2 linked regions of the Drosophila melanogaster genome follow. The protein of the gene in region 1 purifies or fractionates together with the protein of each later gene. This does not show direct contact. Each region holds a gene or a part of one and is shown in the gene's direction. Other genes may lie near its edges.

What was found. Proteins that work in one complex are often made in the same cells at the same time.
Region 2: the proteins of Hasp (region 1) and hig purify together in Drosophila melanogaster (affinity purification with western blotting; one study listed by BioGRID). This does not show direct contact.

The regions. Positions count from the first base shown.
Region 1 is NT_033779.5:19,512,072-19,520,763, reverse strand, and holds the start of Hasp (Hig-anchoring scaffold protein), read left to right. Parts: upstream 1-3,559; 5' UTR 3,560-3,636; intron 3,637-3,905; 5' UTR 3,906-4,271; coding exon 4,272-4,323; intron 4,324-4,730; coding exon 4,731-5,030; intron 5,031-5,165; coding exon 5,166-5,345; intron 5,346-5,404; coding exon 5,405-5,596; intron 5,597-5,656; coding exon 5,657-5,833; intron 5,834-5,904; coding exon of another isoform or gene 5,905-5,948; exon of another isoform or gene 5,949-6,254; intron 6,255-6,413; coding exon 6,414-6,596; intron 6,597-6,658; coding exon 6,659-7,455; intron 7,456-7,512; coding exon 7,513-7,720; intron 7,721-7,780; coding exon 7,781-8,692. Other genes in the region: CG10132 (uncharacterized protein), read right to left, coding at 1-51, 109-179.
Region 2 is NT_033778.4:9,242,094-9,249,511, reverse strand, and holds the start of hig (hikaru genki), read left to right. Parts: upstream 1-2,262; 5' UTR 2,263-2,617; coding exon 2,618-2,747; intron 2,748-5,101; exon of another isoform or gene 5,102-5,180; coding exon of another isoform or gene 5,181-5,341; intron 5,342-5,400; coding exon of another isoform or gene 5,401-5,715; intron 5,716-5,772; coding exon of another isoform or gene 5,773-5,990; intron 5,991-6,042; coding exon of another isoform or gene 6,043-6,313; intron 6,314-6,372; coding exon of another isoform or gene 6,373-6,473; intron 6,474-6,532; coding exon of another isoform or gene 6,533-6,614; intron 6,615-6,670; coding exon of another isoform or gene 6,671-6,871; intron 6,872-6,953; coding exon of another isoform or gene 6,954-7,152; exon of another isoform or gene 7,153-7,192; intron 7,193-7,372; exon of another isoform or gene 7,373-7,418. Other genes in the region: Cyp4p3 (cytochrome P450 4p3), read right to left, coding at 5,181-5,341, 5,401-5,715, 5,773-5,990, 6,043-6,313, 6,373-6,473, 6,533-6,614, 6,671-6,871, 6,954-7,152.

The DNA.
Region 1 (8,692 bases):
TCGGCGGAGATCAGGGTGTCCTTCTGATCCGCCTCCTGGTAGGGAGGCGAGCTGCAACCACAACATTAGTACAATCCAGAGAATCGATGCACGAACGGATGAACCTACTCGTCTGACTTTTCGGAGGCACTGTCCTTGTCCTTCTTTTTCTTCTGGCCGGAACTGCACACGTTGCCCATGGCGGTCGTTCAAGTCCCTACTCTTTAAATTACAATTGACTGATTGATGTCCTGCAATGGATAGTAGATGAAAATCCGTTTAGTTATTAAATATAACAAAAGACATTTAAACATCTGTTATATCCTTATATAGAATGATATAGAATGCGTTTCATTGAACTATTTTTTGATTTTCTTGGTACTGAAACCCGTTTTATTTATCCAGCTAAAAGTGGTTCTTTCCAAGGATCTGGGAACTTTAAAGCTGCTCACGGTATCTCACACCCATATCGATTAGAAAGCACTCGAGGATTCATCCTGTCATCCTTGTGTGGCATAAACTTTATTTGTTTAACTGTTTGTTTAACTGTTTCAGTAAGTATATAATGTATGTATATAATAATAACCAAATATGGGATATTAACTTGCTAATGGGTGCAATATTTGCACAATATTAATTAAGAAAACACCCAGCTGTTGCAGGATTTCTCACTCTCTTAAAAACACACAAGCACTAACGGATATTCGTTTTCATTTGAAGGATGTTCTCTTGCAAGGATTTTTCCTATGTGGTTCCGCAGATCACTTAATCTTTATAATTTTCCGCACTCGGGCTTGAATAGTTTAGTTGATAACTGTCGTATATACACGTATAGATTTCCACAACAGGTCAATGACAAAAACAAAGTGACTGGGGACACGGAGCACATCCTGTGCAAGCGAGATGGGGCTAGTCGGGGGTGGAAAGAAAGGGGCAGGGGCTGAGAGCAGAGAGCAAAGAGAAAAGCTTTCGCGAGGCGAACGCATGCTCTCTGCGAGAACTTTTGTAGAGAATTTCTGCGTTGAATTGGCATTGGCGTTAATCAAGTGGTCGAGTGAACTGGCCCAAGTGGGTGGTGCTGGGCGGTGGATGGTCTATATGGTGGGTTCGCTGGGTCTGGGTCTGGGTCTCGTCTCGGATTTATTGCGGGCAATGCGCTTGGCTGGATTTTTGTGTACACGCTTGAAAATTGTTGACGCGCGAGCCCCCCGTTTTCGATGCCATCGACGGATGGGATGGATGATGGGTGATGGATGCTCTTGGTTTGGAATCTACTTTATTCGATACGGATTATGTTTGCGATCGTTCGATTCACCATACACAGAGCATTGGTCTTTCGCGACCGATTTGAATTCCGATGCGGGGCGGGAGGGGGCTTAAAAAATCGCTAAAAATAAATTCCCCTATATACACAGAATCTATATGTTTTTTGAATCGGCTAGTTCGACATTTTGTCGCAGCGGTCTGCGAAGTGGTTCAATATCAATTAATTTGTCACAGATTCGCTGGCATCTCAGTTCGCAGATACGATTTTGCACTGGCGGCCAGTCGATGCGGATTCGGTGTGTATGCATCGTTTAGTTGGTTATTTGATTTATTTTAATACACAAATTTGCGCCACTTACTTTTCTTTACGCGCTTTTCACATGCGCCCCCCGGAAAACCCGCCGCACCCCACCGAACGGAGTCTAAAACATTTCCACCCACTGCACTTGCACTTTGCTCAATTAATTGCCTAATCAAAATGTTTCTTACACACACGCCGCGAAGACATTTCGTCGGAAAAGTGTATCTTTCGAGTGCGTTTCCCCCGCTTTCCCCGCTCGCTCCACTGACTCTTGCTCCCCTATATATTTTTTTTTTTGGATTTTCGGATACGAGTGCGCGCCTCGACTAGTTTTTCCTTGTCCCGCCGCTGTGCGTCGTCGTTGTGCTCGGCGCTCCGGATTTTCACTGCTTCTGATTCCGTAGGAAAATCGGTCGCTTTTCCGACCTCCGCGCTCTCGGAGCTTTTTCCGAATCTTATTAGCGCTAAAATAAGTAAAAATCGAGCGTTACGTTGCTTATCGATAGATACATGGCATAGCTGTCGATGTTTCAAATAGATTTTTTAAAAATCAAGCGTAACGTTAATACATCGACAATTCAATTTCAATTGTAACAAATTTACGCCTTTTGTATATAGAGGCCGACCAGTTTGACGCAGACGTAATGAGCTGATGGTTCAAGAGTTGGCGGACAGCGTTTTTAAATCCGTGCCCAAAACACCAAAACCGACACCGACGACAGCGCCACCCATAACATCCTGTGGTCGCCGCCAATTAGAGCTCCACTGCCACTGCCGCCGTGTCCTGGTCCTGGTCACACCCCAACCCCCGCCACCGGACAACGACGACATCTTCGTTGGGGATTTGGATTCTCATGTACATATATATATTTCCATTTACACATACATATATATATATTTCCATTTACATCTAAATTTATACAGATTCCACTTGCGGACATTCCAGCAAATCACGTATGTCTGTATAAGATTAGTCTATTACCCTGTCATGCAATTGACCGTTTGATTTTTTTTAGATTGGCAATGGCATTGGCGTGAACCTCGACATTGCAAGATATCTTCGGGAAGTTGTCCTCCGTGTGCAATTTGGTCGCTTGCCCGCAGGTTAAGAGTGCGGTATGGAGGAATTTTTGAGGGAATGGACTTCTTCATCGGTTATTATAATATAAAAATATCATTAGCCTTATTATGCTCAAGCCTCTGTTTAGCAATATATAGGTATGACGAAACTTGATTTGTGTCGATTCCACCAAACATACCCTTCTCAGTAATATTTTCATTTAGAAAGAAAAATACATTTCCATTGTGGATGGGACAAATTAGAGTTCTTTGAAGTTATAAAAAATGATGAGAAACTAGATCGAAATCGGGTTTTTACGAACTGAAATACGAATATATGAAAATTGTCTATTCCATATCTATATAGTATCTATATCTATGATAATGGTAAAGAAAAGCTTAATACATAGATTTTGGTTAAGGAGCAATAACTTTATGTGACAATCGTTATCAAAAAACCAGATATGCTTGTAATATATGTGTGTTGGTTTTGCGATAACGATAACGATACGTTTTCTTTATTTTCTCTCTCTGCGAGAAAGCACTCACACACTTACATACTTGCTACACTGGTATGTGTGCAAGTATATGTGCAAAAGCTTCGCCGCACAGTGGAACTGTCCAATGGTTCCCAAAAAACCAATGTCCTTGTCCATAAGACTTGGTCACATATAAGTTGCTATATTTGACTGGTATTCACTATAAACTAAATTAAAGTAATATATTAATAGTAATAGTTAAAGAAAGTACTGAATAGAAATAAAGATATTCTTTTGTTGTTGATTTTAAGTGATGAAAAAAAATAAGAAATTTAATATAAATTCTAGTAGAATAAGCATATAAATTTAAGTAAGTATAAGTAAGCATATAAATATATAACATAGTCGTAAGCGCTGAACAATGATCACCTGTGCTTATCGCAGCCAACTTCAAGTTGAAAATGTTAAAACTGACGCTATGTTAAGTAAGGGATTGTAAATGTAAAGTTGAAGAAGACGGTGGATTTTAGAGAAACTAAGGAAACATATCGTGTAAAGCATATTATTACTGCCAATATATGTTTATGATTAAATCTTGATTATTGTTTAATTTAAACTCTGTTTATGTAATATAAATCACTTCATTAGCTATCATTATTATATTAATACTTATACTTATATCTATCATTATCATAAGTATTAATATGATGATGATAGCTAATGAACCTTAAATTGTAATCAACACATCTTATATCGATTCCTCGACGTCTAACAAAAAAAAGTTCCTAACAGTCGAAATTAATGATATCTTTATATTCAAGTTTGGATCCAACAAGCGAGCTAGGATGCAAGAACCTTTCGCATTTGCTCGAATTTTCACCGAAACCTATCTTCACCGTTAAAGGGACCAACCACCGCCGAAAGCTGTCAAGTTGGGCGCTTCTCGCCCGATCTGTCAAAAGGCCAGAGCCAAAAAGGGGAGAAAGCAGCTGGCGTGGCTGCATTTCGTTTCCTTGGCTCGAAGTGAGAAGTTTCGGGCCACCGAGCTTGTCGAAAAAGTTACCAATTAAATTGGCCAGCAGAGGAATTTTGCAAGTTAGCTAAAATGCTATAAATCCGAGGCCAGTTCGGCGAAAGGAAAAAAATCAAAAAGGACACGGATACCCCGCAACTACAACGGAATCAAAATGAATCGCCTGCTGCTGCAGTGTCTAGTGACCACCATTCTGGTCTACAAAGGTCAATAAGAAAACCCAAAAAACCTGAAAACCCGATAAGTACAATCAGTATATTTGAGCCCCTTTTAGTGGTAGTCCGGATGAGCTCACCAGTGGCCGGAATAATTATTTGCAATTTTCGGGAGTCCTCCAAATGGGCAAGATGAAAAATGTATATGCTGCTGCGTTATATAAGCTGGCGTCCAGTGCGCAGGCTCCAAAAGAGTCTGGGACCGAGCCATCATCAGACATCTGGACCAGGCATCGGGGGAAATAGGTCAATGTTTTCGCCCGCACGCGAGGCGGAGCAAAATAGACGCGAATCCCGGAACCAAAACAGAAGCCGCGCTAAGGGGTTGATTCGCCTGGGAATTGGGGTTTGTTTTCCAGCCCAGATGACTGACAGCTGTCCTCCTTGTTCTCTTGCAGTGATTTCGGTGCCGACCAGCACGATGAGCACCAGCATCCAGACGACCTCGGAGATTCCGCAGCAGGATGACGACGACGACGACTGGGAGGAGGACGACGACTCTCTGGAGTCTGACGACGATGGCCGCGTCTACAAGAATCCTCGCAACTCACCCTCCACCGAGTGTCCACGCGACGAGGAGCAGGCCACGCTGCTCGGCCAGAAGTGCTTGAGGAAGTGCTCCTCCGACGAGGATTGCAAGAGCAAGAAGAAGAAGTGCCTGTGCGACGGCGTCTGTGGCAATTCCTGCATTAAACCAGGTGGGTATAGATTTAAATTGCAATAGTTAAAACAAAATAAGTGTAATTCAATCAGAAAGTTGATATGTTGAACCATCAATTCTTTTTATACAAGCAAAGTAATTCCAAATCCCTCGATGCCCTTTCTTTCCTTAGATCGCGAGTGCCCGGAACTAGCCCAGCCCAGCTTGGGTCAGGTCACAGTGGCTGGACGCCACTTCGGAGCTCGCGCCTCCTATGCCTGTCCGCACGGCTACCACGTTGTGGGTCTCCAGAGTCGTCTGTGCCAGGCGGACGGAAATTGGGCCGGAGCCGAGCCAGCTTGCAAGCAGAATAGTAAGTCTACCACAGGTTAATAAACAGATTATATCGAAACGTGCTTGCAATCCTTCCAGTTTACTGCCTGAAGCCGCCGCAGATAGAGCATGCACGGAACTCGGCGCTGCCGGAACAGGAAACCTTTGACCTGGACTCCACGGTTCAGTACCACTGTCACACCGGCTACGTGACCAATGGATTCCCGCGGGCCAAGTGCCTGGCTATTGATAACCTGGCCAGCTGGTACGGCCCGGATATCCAATGCGAACGTGAGTGCAGTCACACTGAAAAGGGGAGCCTCTGTATGCATAGCTATTTGATGATTCCAGCTCGATCCTGTGGCCAGCCACCGGATCCGGCCTACGGATGGCATGCCGGCGAGTGCTACACGTACGGATGCAAGATCACCTACAACTGCGGAACCGGATACGAGCTGGTGGGCAAGCACGAGCGCTACTGCCAGTCGGACGGATCGTGGACGCCCAAGGAGCTGCCCACCTGTGTCTGTGAGTATTGCGGGCTGGCGCCGGTAGAGCTTGTAACCGAACCTCTTTGACCTCTTTGACCACCTTTAAAGCGGATAGCGCAAATGTAACCACCACCCAAGCGTCGTTATCCTAGGCGAGGCGACCCTTTGAGTTTCGTTTCCGACTCCTTGGAGCTGGCAAATGGCACAGATCCCCATATCCGTATCCGAAACTATATATTAAGCGCACTTTGGTCAGGGCTCAGGTTCTCCAGTCGGAGTTCTCCGATCCTGCTAGCCACCCACATTCTCTCTCTATCTCCGATTTGGTTATTGATCTAGCGATACATACAAACAGATTGTTCAAATTTACATATGCACTACCTTGTTGTTGTTGTTCTTGTTGTTGGCCAGTTAATGTTGAATGAATAAATAAAAGTTACCGCAAATCTTGAGCAAGCAAAAATATATACAAGAATTGATTAATCGAATTCGAAAACCGTTTCCTCGAAGTTGTTTTATTTGGTTTGGCGGCCTTCAAAGATTTGTGGTAACTTTTAGCATACCCCCACCATCCCAATCCCATTGCTAACCCCATTCTCCCGCATCCTCCCGCACAGTGGTCACCTCGGTGGTGTGTCCCACCCCGGAGAACCCCAAGAACGGCAAGGCCACCTACACCACCCTGGCCTACAACTCGGTGGTCAGCTACGAGTGCCGCTACGGCTACACCCTTGTGGGCGAGAGCTCCAGTCGCTGCGGAGCGGACCGAAAGTGGAGCGGCACTCTGCCCACCTGCAAGGGTAAGTGGTGTAGTCCCATCTGGATGGTTCTACTGTGTATTCCATTGCATTCCCTTCAATAGAGATCAACTGCGGCCATCCTGGAGTGCTGTACAACGGATGGATCGAGAACATCGAAGCGGGCACCGGACTAGGTGCCAGCATTATTTTCCGCTGCCAACCAGAGATGATGATCAATGGACTGGGCTCCAGCGTGTGCCAGATCGACGGAAGGTGGCGGAACGCACTGCCCGAGTGTCTGGCGCCCTGTGTGGTGCCCACCATTTCGCAGGGCAATGTGTATCCCATCGAGATAATCACGGATGAGAACGGAACGACGATCGTCCATCCGCCGACGACCACCACACAGTCGCCCACTCAAACGCAGAGCATTGGTGGTGTGGAGAAGGTTAAGCACGGAACGGCACTGGAGGTCAAGTGCGATGAGAACTACGAGTTCCCGGTGTCCCTGCTCAGTCCGCCCACGTGCAACAATGGCACGTGGAGCATCATTCCACGCTGTGTGCCCGCCAGGTGCAAGAGCATGCCGCGTCCACCCAAGCACGGCATGGTAATGGCTCCCAAGACGGAGCACGGCATGAAGGCGCGATTCAAGTGCAAAGATGGCTTCAAGCTGGTCAGTCCGGAGGGCAAGGATGTGACAGATCCGCATGACTATGTGCTCACTTGTTCATTTGGCAACTGGACCGGAGAGACGCCCAAATGTGACGAGGTCTTCTGCTCCTTTCCCGGCTACATACCCAATGGAAAGGTCCTGCTTGTGGGCAACATGGGCCTATATGACTATAGACCTTATGTCAAGAAGATCGTGAACAACAAGCAGATCATGTACGATTGCGACAAGGGATATGTCCTGGAGGTAACTTCAATATCCTGTTAGTATTGCTGATTCCCAACAACATCGCTTCTCCACTAGGTTGGTCCGCCTGGCGCCACCTGTGTGGGTGGCAAGTGGCGGCCCTTGGACCTGCCACAGTGCCTCCTGGGCCAGCATCCTCGCCTGCGTTGGAATCGCCGCAGACGTCGCTCTCTGCAGATCCGCCAACTGAGATCCATGTACCTTCTGCAGCGACAGCGACAACTTCAAAGGCAACTGATCGATAACCAAAACTATATAAAAGCTAGTAAGCAATAATATTTTTCGATTGTAAGCAATATATTAACAATATCATATTCCCTTTTAGTAGCCGATCCTGTCCAGCCATCGGTTCATCGGGTTAAGCGAAGCGCCAGTCCCCACCCGAACTCACAACCCTATGCCTCCGACGTCGACCGGGCCTACTCCAAGTACTACCAAAAGATCAAAGAGCGATATCAGCGCTATGTCCGCAAAATGCTAGGTCGTGACCGGATCTACCAGAGGCTCCACTCCCAAGATGCAGTGGGTAGAGTGGGAAACAATCTGAATACCCACGATGGAGGACAGGTCACCATGCGGGGCAAGTCCAACTTTAGGGAATTCGAGAATGGAAACAATTACCTTGGGAGCGGTGGCATTGGATCAGGTGGAGTAGTCGGATCTGGAGTGGTTGCGCTGCCCAACATTAACCAGGCATCGCGAAACCACCAGGTTCATGTAAACAGAACTCCCAAGGAAGAGCTGCTATCCAACGGATCCCCGCCTATAGCATCGCGTAGCCTGCACTTGAATGCCACCCGATCCTATATTGAACAACTGAAATCACAGATTGTCCGTCGGAGGCGCAGAAGGAGCTCCAGCATTGGACAGTCGCCTCCTCCGTCGGGAGCAACTATTCCGGATGCTGAGGTGGACATCAGTGATGGAGGAGAGGCCGGAAAGGGAGGTGGAGGCAAACGATTGCGAGGACCCTGCGAGGAACTCGAGTGGGATTCCTTCGCCAACGTGACCACGGTTCGTCCTGGCAAGGTTCCAGGCAGAAATGCCGTAGGCATCATGCTGCATCTGGAGTGCAATGCCGGATTCAAGCTGAATATTAAGGGTGAAAACGCCACGGCGCGATGCATCCGAGGCATTTGGAAGCCGGAGACGCCCAAGTGCCTATCCGCTCCGTGCCTGGTTCCCGCCGTGGAGCACGGTCAGTACTACAAGGTGGAGCCCCACACCAAACAGCTGA
Region 2 (7,418 bases), on another chromosome or scaffold:
CGCCATCGCATCCGTGTCTGTCTGCGCGAGTCCTTTAATGGATTTCGCCTCTGACTGCGCGCGAAAATTCATTAAAACTCGATAATTGCATGACAAGACAAGATCCTGGAATTTGGCCATCGGGTGCGAGTCCTTGTTTATCCCTGGGCTCGCTATCTGGCAAATGGCATTAAGAACCAGTTGATTTACTTGCGATTGTTTTCCGCTTGGTGCACTGAGCAAAATAAGGAGCATAACATATTATCGAAGAGATCGATGTTAAGAAATCTCAGAATATTTATTGTATATTTGAATATCTAAAACCTGAATTACAACTTAAAGAATATATTATTTTGACATATGTTCAAAACAACAAGGAATTTATTTAAAGCAATAATTTCATTAAAACGAAGAGGAGATTATTTCATTTAAAACAATTGGATGTGTAGTTATTAAATCAGCTGCCAACCAAGCTGGCCAAAGTAAATATTCCTTTTGCGTGACTTACTATGCATATTGTATTATTCATTCTACCGAAATGAGGATTCGGTAAGCCATGTATTTGTTGCATCTGCCCATCGCACAGCCAGTAAGTAATTGTCTTGATTAAATAATTTAATCTGCTAAATGCAGGCATTTTAATCTAGAAAAGCTGCGACCATGTCAGGTGCACGCACTTCATTGGCACCCAGGAAATCATTGGTTATTAGCCTTCGGCCCGTCGGCATCGAATTGAGTTGGAATACCAGAGATGTAATTTCAGCCTGCGGTTGCAGGGCAGCAAATTGAATTTTGCTGTAAAGCCGCTCGTTGCCAGGAGGCAGGATAAACATGCTAAACGTATAAATTTTCAGCCTGATTGCATTCCAAAGTTTCGGGCCACTAGGACGGCATGCCAGAAACTATACACAAAAGATAATGCCGCTGCACAATTGGATTGCCAGCTGAGGGGGAGAATGCAGCACACAAACATTCATTTTCCACTCGACTGGAGTTGAGCGCGTTTCGCATTCGCATTCGCATTTGGTATTTCGCATTTCAGCAAAATTTCAATGCGACAGACAAGAGCGACCCAGACGGTATTGTTACGGTTACGCTTTAGGACCAGGACTAACCTGAACCTCCAATGAGTGACATTTATCTTGCGAGGACAACAAGGGGCGTCCTGTCGGAGCATTCATTTGCGTAATTAGTGGCCAAGTGGCATCCGCAACCTGGTTGCCAAATGCCAAATGCCATTTGGCTTCGGTCGCAGAGCAGAGGCCTCAAAATCACCGCAACTGCTGCTTGATTATTGGCCAGGACCAAAAGGAATGGCCAGCAGACAGGCGACGTCAGCACAATTGATAGCATACTTCTCAGGGCAGCGGCAGCTGAGGAGCAGCAAAGGTGAGTCCCTTGCCGAGCACTTGGCTCCACTGCACTCCTTAGCCACAATAGAATGTACCCACTTTGAATTTGTAGTAAACACGGAAGCACACTTTTGAATTTATAAACATATAATTAGCTACAAAAAAATTGCATTTAGTTGCTAAGCTTACCGCCAAGTAAAAATCATAAAATTTAAACTTTAGCAGTTATTGCCAATGTATCCAAAAATGTAATTCTCATATTTATCTCCTACATACAATATTTCAATTAAATAATTATAGTCGTCTAGTTATTGTACCTTATGTGCTCATGTTTTCGGGCTATATAAATCGCAGTTTTAAGCCAATAACATTTTCAGCAACGATTTCCCCTAGTGAATTAGGAAATAGTAATTGATTTTATGCGATTGATTCACTGCTGCACCAGTAAAAAGTATCTGCCTGAACTAAGGAAGTATAATTAAATTAGTTTTAAACTGGAAAGTAACCGAATCAACGTGGCAAGCAAGCGGAAAACTTCATTTGTAGCTGGGAATTGGCCACGTGGGTGGGCGGTGTTCCTTGGTTGGTTCGGGGGGGAGTGGGAAAAAGGAGAGCTACGTGAGAGTTACAAGGGCACGCACGCAGACACACGGGCACAGCGAAAAGCGAAAGCAGCGAGAGAGGAAAATCGGAGATGACGAAAAACAGCAACAGCAACGGCAATGGCAACAGCGACTAAGCAAAACATGGGCCAAACCAAAACAAAAACACACGATTTGCCGGCAAAATGCACGTGACACATCCTTTGGCGAGCTTCGTCGAGTGCGATCCTTCGTCGAGTGCCGAATGCAGCCGATTGCAGCCGAACGAAGCAGAGCCGAAGCTGCGCAGAATCCAACGAGAGGTATAAAAGCGAGACGCTCGCCGCACTCGTGGCATTCGATTGTCGTCGCTCGAGAGGATAGGTGCCCAGCTTCGAAAAGGATAAAACCCCGCAAAGGACTCTAAGTAAAAGTGAAACTTTAAAGCCAAAGAGCACACACACATACACATACACGCGCACACGTTGCATACAGTTTGGCGCGAGTGTGGGTTACTGCTGGCGGTACGCCAGTGTGTGTGTGTGAGTTGGCCAAGTGGATTTCTATTTTTGGCCCATTAAGAAGTCAACTCGTGAAGTGCAGTGGTGTTAAATTCGTTGCTATTTGAAAGGACTCATCGGGTTGCTTAACAAACGAAAACAAAACAACGCCGAAACTCTGGCAATCGCAATCTGATCCTTGGACATGTGGAGCAGGCAGCGAATGCGCCATAAGCCGCTTTGGGCCCTAATATCCTTGACCGTTTTGCTGCTGGTCCTGGACAAAAGCAATGCCAACACGGAGCCCGTCGAGACCAGCACCACATCCGAGCCAGGTGAGTCCTAATTGCCCCGCACACACGTGGGCTCCTCCGTTTGACCTTCACTCACTGGACGGACGAAAAGCGTAAATAAATTATGACGGGCCGCCTCGAACTCGGTCACTTTATTAAATGGCCTTCCACGCATCCATGGAAATCGGACAGTTCACAGCTTCCAGCTCCCAGCGATTATCACACACGCTCGAACAAAAAGGATATAAATCCGGAGTAGAAATGAATTCGTAACCGGGAGGGGAAGCTACAGAGCGCAAGAGCAAATAACTGGCAGCAAATGAAATATTTCACGGCATCTGCGGCACAAAGGCAATCAAAGCGAGCCGAGAGCCCATGGGCAACCTTAATCCCAATCAGAGTCAACAAACAAGCAAGGGCATCGCGAAAACGGGGCACTGCGGAAAATATTTGGCAACAAATTTTTAGGTTGCTTTTCATATTAAATTATAAAAGACATGCTTATAAGGTGCAAGGATAATGGCTTTTATTATGAATCATTCAAAGCAAGACATCATGAAGTCTTTAAAGTTAGTTTTCAAACGCAATCACAAACATTATTTTTCAGTAAGAATAAAGAAAAACATGATTGTCATGTATGACAAATCGAAATAAATTTTCGTATAGCATTCACATAAATATTTAAAATCATTATGTATTTCACACCTTGTAAAATAATTATTTAACCTTTATTTCGAGCGTATTATGATAATTTATTAGGTAAGAATTTAATGATAAATTTAGTTATTTTTGATCAAATATATTTTCAATTACATATGTATATTTATACATTATAAATTATGATTACTGAACATTTTGAACATGTGAAATCATTAATAAGGCGCAAACTTAATGCATACTTTTGATTGTTAGACCTTTGCTCCTAAATCTCAACGAAACTTAATTCCGCTGGCAGTCACCAATAATTTCTCTCAGTGCACTAGGGGAAGGGGAGCTGAAAGGTAGCTCGGGCAAGCGGCAATTGCACGAAAGTCCGTAATGAAGTATGGCAGGCAGGCCGTCCGAGGCTGGTAATAGAAATTAATAGCGTCATGTGTGAGTTTTGCGAAAGGGAAGGAAGACTTTGGACGGGGGAATGGGTGGATGTGGGGTACAAGGGACAAGGGAAGTGGGAAAAAGGATACAGGGGAAGTGTAAAGTGCCCGACAGCGACACGCAGATGCGCATAAAGTAATTAATTCACTCTGCCTCCATCGGCATCGCCATCGCCATCGCCATCCCTCCAGTCGGTTGCCTTCTAATTTCCCCTGGCAAATCGACAGGACCAGCTGTTGAGCTGCTGAGCTTTTGGGGTTTCGTCCTTCAGTCAGGCAAAAGTGCGTCGCACTTATCTTCTTTTTTTTTCTTTTGTGGCGGATATTGCGACTTCTTATTTCGCCTTTTGGTGCGCAGTTTGGCAGTCAGTCAGGTGAGAGGGGTGCCGATTCTTAGATTTTCTGAGATCCAAACGTTCGCTTGACACATGTGAAAGCGAGGGAAATTTAATTTACATGACTCACAAATGGAATCCATTTAATGTTGACTTATGGCGACGAAGCACTAGCGCACAGAGCACTAATGAAATATGCAGTAGCCGAGTAGCAGCTAAAACCAGAGCTGCCTTTCACCCATTTCCATGTGCTGTCCCATAAATCCTGGGTCCCCAGGATGGATGATGATGTTGGAACGAGTTGGGCGCACACTAAAAAATATGCGTTTACGATAATTATTTTCAATAGTAGAGTAGTAGTAAGCCACATATAAAAGAGAAGCTAACTAAAAATATCCCTTCGAAACATGATATAAATATTTCATAAAATAAATAGGAAGCCAAAGATAGATGGAACTTATTTCAGTGCACCACACACAGTGCATTTTGCGAGCCCATGGTCACCCATGTCTTTTTGCCACATTTTATGTGCTTAGAACAAAGCTGAGTCTGCATTATGCATGCAAATGGTATAACTGAGTAACGAACTGTCAAAATCGCAGTTAAAGCAAAAAGGAGTCGTTGGGAAAGGGATGTAGCCTCGGCAGGAGGAGGAAAACCAAATGACAAAAAGTCGCCAGCGCATTATGCATTTGCATTCCCATATATGTGAGCTAAAGGACAGAGATTACTTGACTTTTCCTGGGCTGCCTCAAAAATAATAGGAGGGGTAGGAAATGACAGGGAGCTCCCACTGTGTGGGAAATGGGAGTTGGAATTGTAATAGCTGCTGGAAAAGAAGAAGAGAAGTGCTTCTACCCGCCAGGGCATGAATGATTTATAGGGCGGCAGCTGTCGAGATGCCAACGATTATCGGCCATAAGCTAGTCACAGGACATTTTTGCACCAAGAGAAAGAAGAAAGGAGTCTTTGGATGAAACTATTGTTCACTGTGCACTTTATGACTAACAGAGTTCCGTGAACAATTCCATTCCGTTAAAGCTGCCTCATTTTCTTCTCACGAGCTTCACGTGAATCTGGTTCTTGGTCCGCAGTGTTAGTCCAGTTTGAAAAACAATAGTTTTCGGATCGATTTCTGGTAGAATTTGGAACTGCTTCAGTAGGGCCACCATTAGGGTTTTCATCTCCTGCATGGCAAATTTTTGACCTACAAAGAAAATGATATGTTTATCCAATCATTCCATGAGAGTAAGCAATATTACATACCTATGCAATTCCTCTGACCAGCACTGAATGGAATATATGCGTAGGTGTGACGATTCTGCGAGTTTTCGGGCAGAAATCTCTCCGGGCGAAACTCTTCGGGAGAATCCCAGTACTCGGGATTGCGATGGATGTCGAAGACATGGACAAAAATCTGGGAGCCCTTTGGCAAGATGAGACCGTTGCTCAGCTCAGTTTCCCGCGTAGTTTCCCTACCCATGGCGGGAACAGAAGGAAACAGGCGCATGGTTTCCTTGATAAAGTATTCCAGATTCTTCAATTTGTTCAACTGCCCGATGTTCAAGATGTTAAGCTCATCTGAAAGATTTTATATGCTTATGAAATCGTAAGTTTACTAATTTCAGCTCATTTCACCATCTATGTTAGCTTGGATCTCTTGGTAGCATTTTTCTTGCTCCTCGGGATATAAAGACATGTTCATTAGTCCAAACATGAGCCCAATTGAGGTAGTATCGTAGCCCTCAAACATCAAAGTGTCCACCTCCTCACAAATTCCAATGTGATCGATGAGGCCATCCTTTTCGGCAAGAATAAGGGTGTCCAGCATGGCAAAGCGCTTTTTACTGGTAAATCTAAAGTAATCGGTATTGTTATGGACTTATGGACGACTGTCAAATGCCTTACAATTCATCTTCAGCGGTCTGAGTGTTTCCTCTGCTATCTATCTCATCATTCAGCTGATCTCTCCTCTTGGCAATAATCTCGCTGGAAAATCCGTGGACCACATCGAGTGCAGACGCGTAATCCTTTTCGGCAAACATCTTGAATAGTGTATCGCTCCATAGAAGTGGGTTGCTCATGCGACGAATGAAGCATTCTTCGATCTGACGGAAGTTCTCCCGGTACCGATCCCCCTTCTCGGCCATCTCGTCCAGCTTCACACCCATGGCCGTCTCTGCAGATATGTTTGTGGTTTTATAATTAACAAAACTTTTAAAACGTATTGCATCTCACCACAAATGCTATTCAGGGTAAATCTGGGAATGACTTCGTTTAACGAGATGATTGCCTCATCATTGCCTTTGAATTGCTCTAGGAACTTCAGACTCTCCGTTCTAGTAAAGTTCATTTTTTTTTTTTTTGAATAGTTACTACGTTAGAAATCCAAACTCACATAAAAATTTCCTGAAACTGATTTAAGATATTGAAATGGAATGTTGGGGAAAGCATCTTGCGTCGTGCATGCCATTTTTTTCCTAAAAAGCGTGATAGCGTTGTAAAACAAATGAAGCATGTGCTAATCCAAACTCACCCGTGGATGTCAACAGTCCAGTTCTCAGAAATGGATGAAGAAAATCGTAAATTGTTCCCTTGTTTATTAGATTTGGATCATTAAGCACACGTTCCGCACTATCTGCGTCTATAACATTGTAGATGGCCGTTCCCATTGCATATTCCGCGTAGCTTTTGCCCAGTTTTTTTGCACAGTCACGCGAGTGTTCAAAAACACCAGCTGATTGTATAATAAGAATAACAGCCATGATATGATGTCATTAGCATAGATAAGCCAGCAAAGCTCCCCCCAAATAACTTACAGTGATCTTTGCCGTACAAATCGAAGCTGTTGGCAAATATGGTACTGCCCTTCACTAATGGAGCAATGCTCTCCGGATTCTGTCCATTCTTGGTTCGAATCCTCTTGGCAAAGAATCCGAGAATGCAGTAGTCCCTGTTCAGCCTATAGATCCACTGAATTAGAACAATAAAAGCTCCCACGAGCCACAGAATTAACATTTTTAGAGAACCGCATCCGCAGATTTGTCTTACCAAACTGATCGCTGAGATCACTAGCAGCCGGTTTTATGAACAAACAATTCCGGTATAAAAAGCGAAACTGATTAGATTGTCTCACACAATTTCAGTTCACAAGCGAATGCTATGATATGAGTTTGGTTATCTAGGTACACTGAGGAATACATTGTGCTAGTACATGCAATAAATATTTTATAAATATACAAGTTAGCTGTTTATTGATATGGGTGTAATTAAGTGATTCAGAT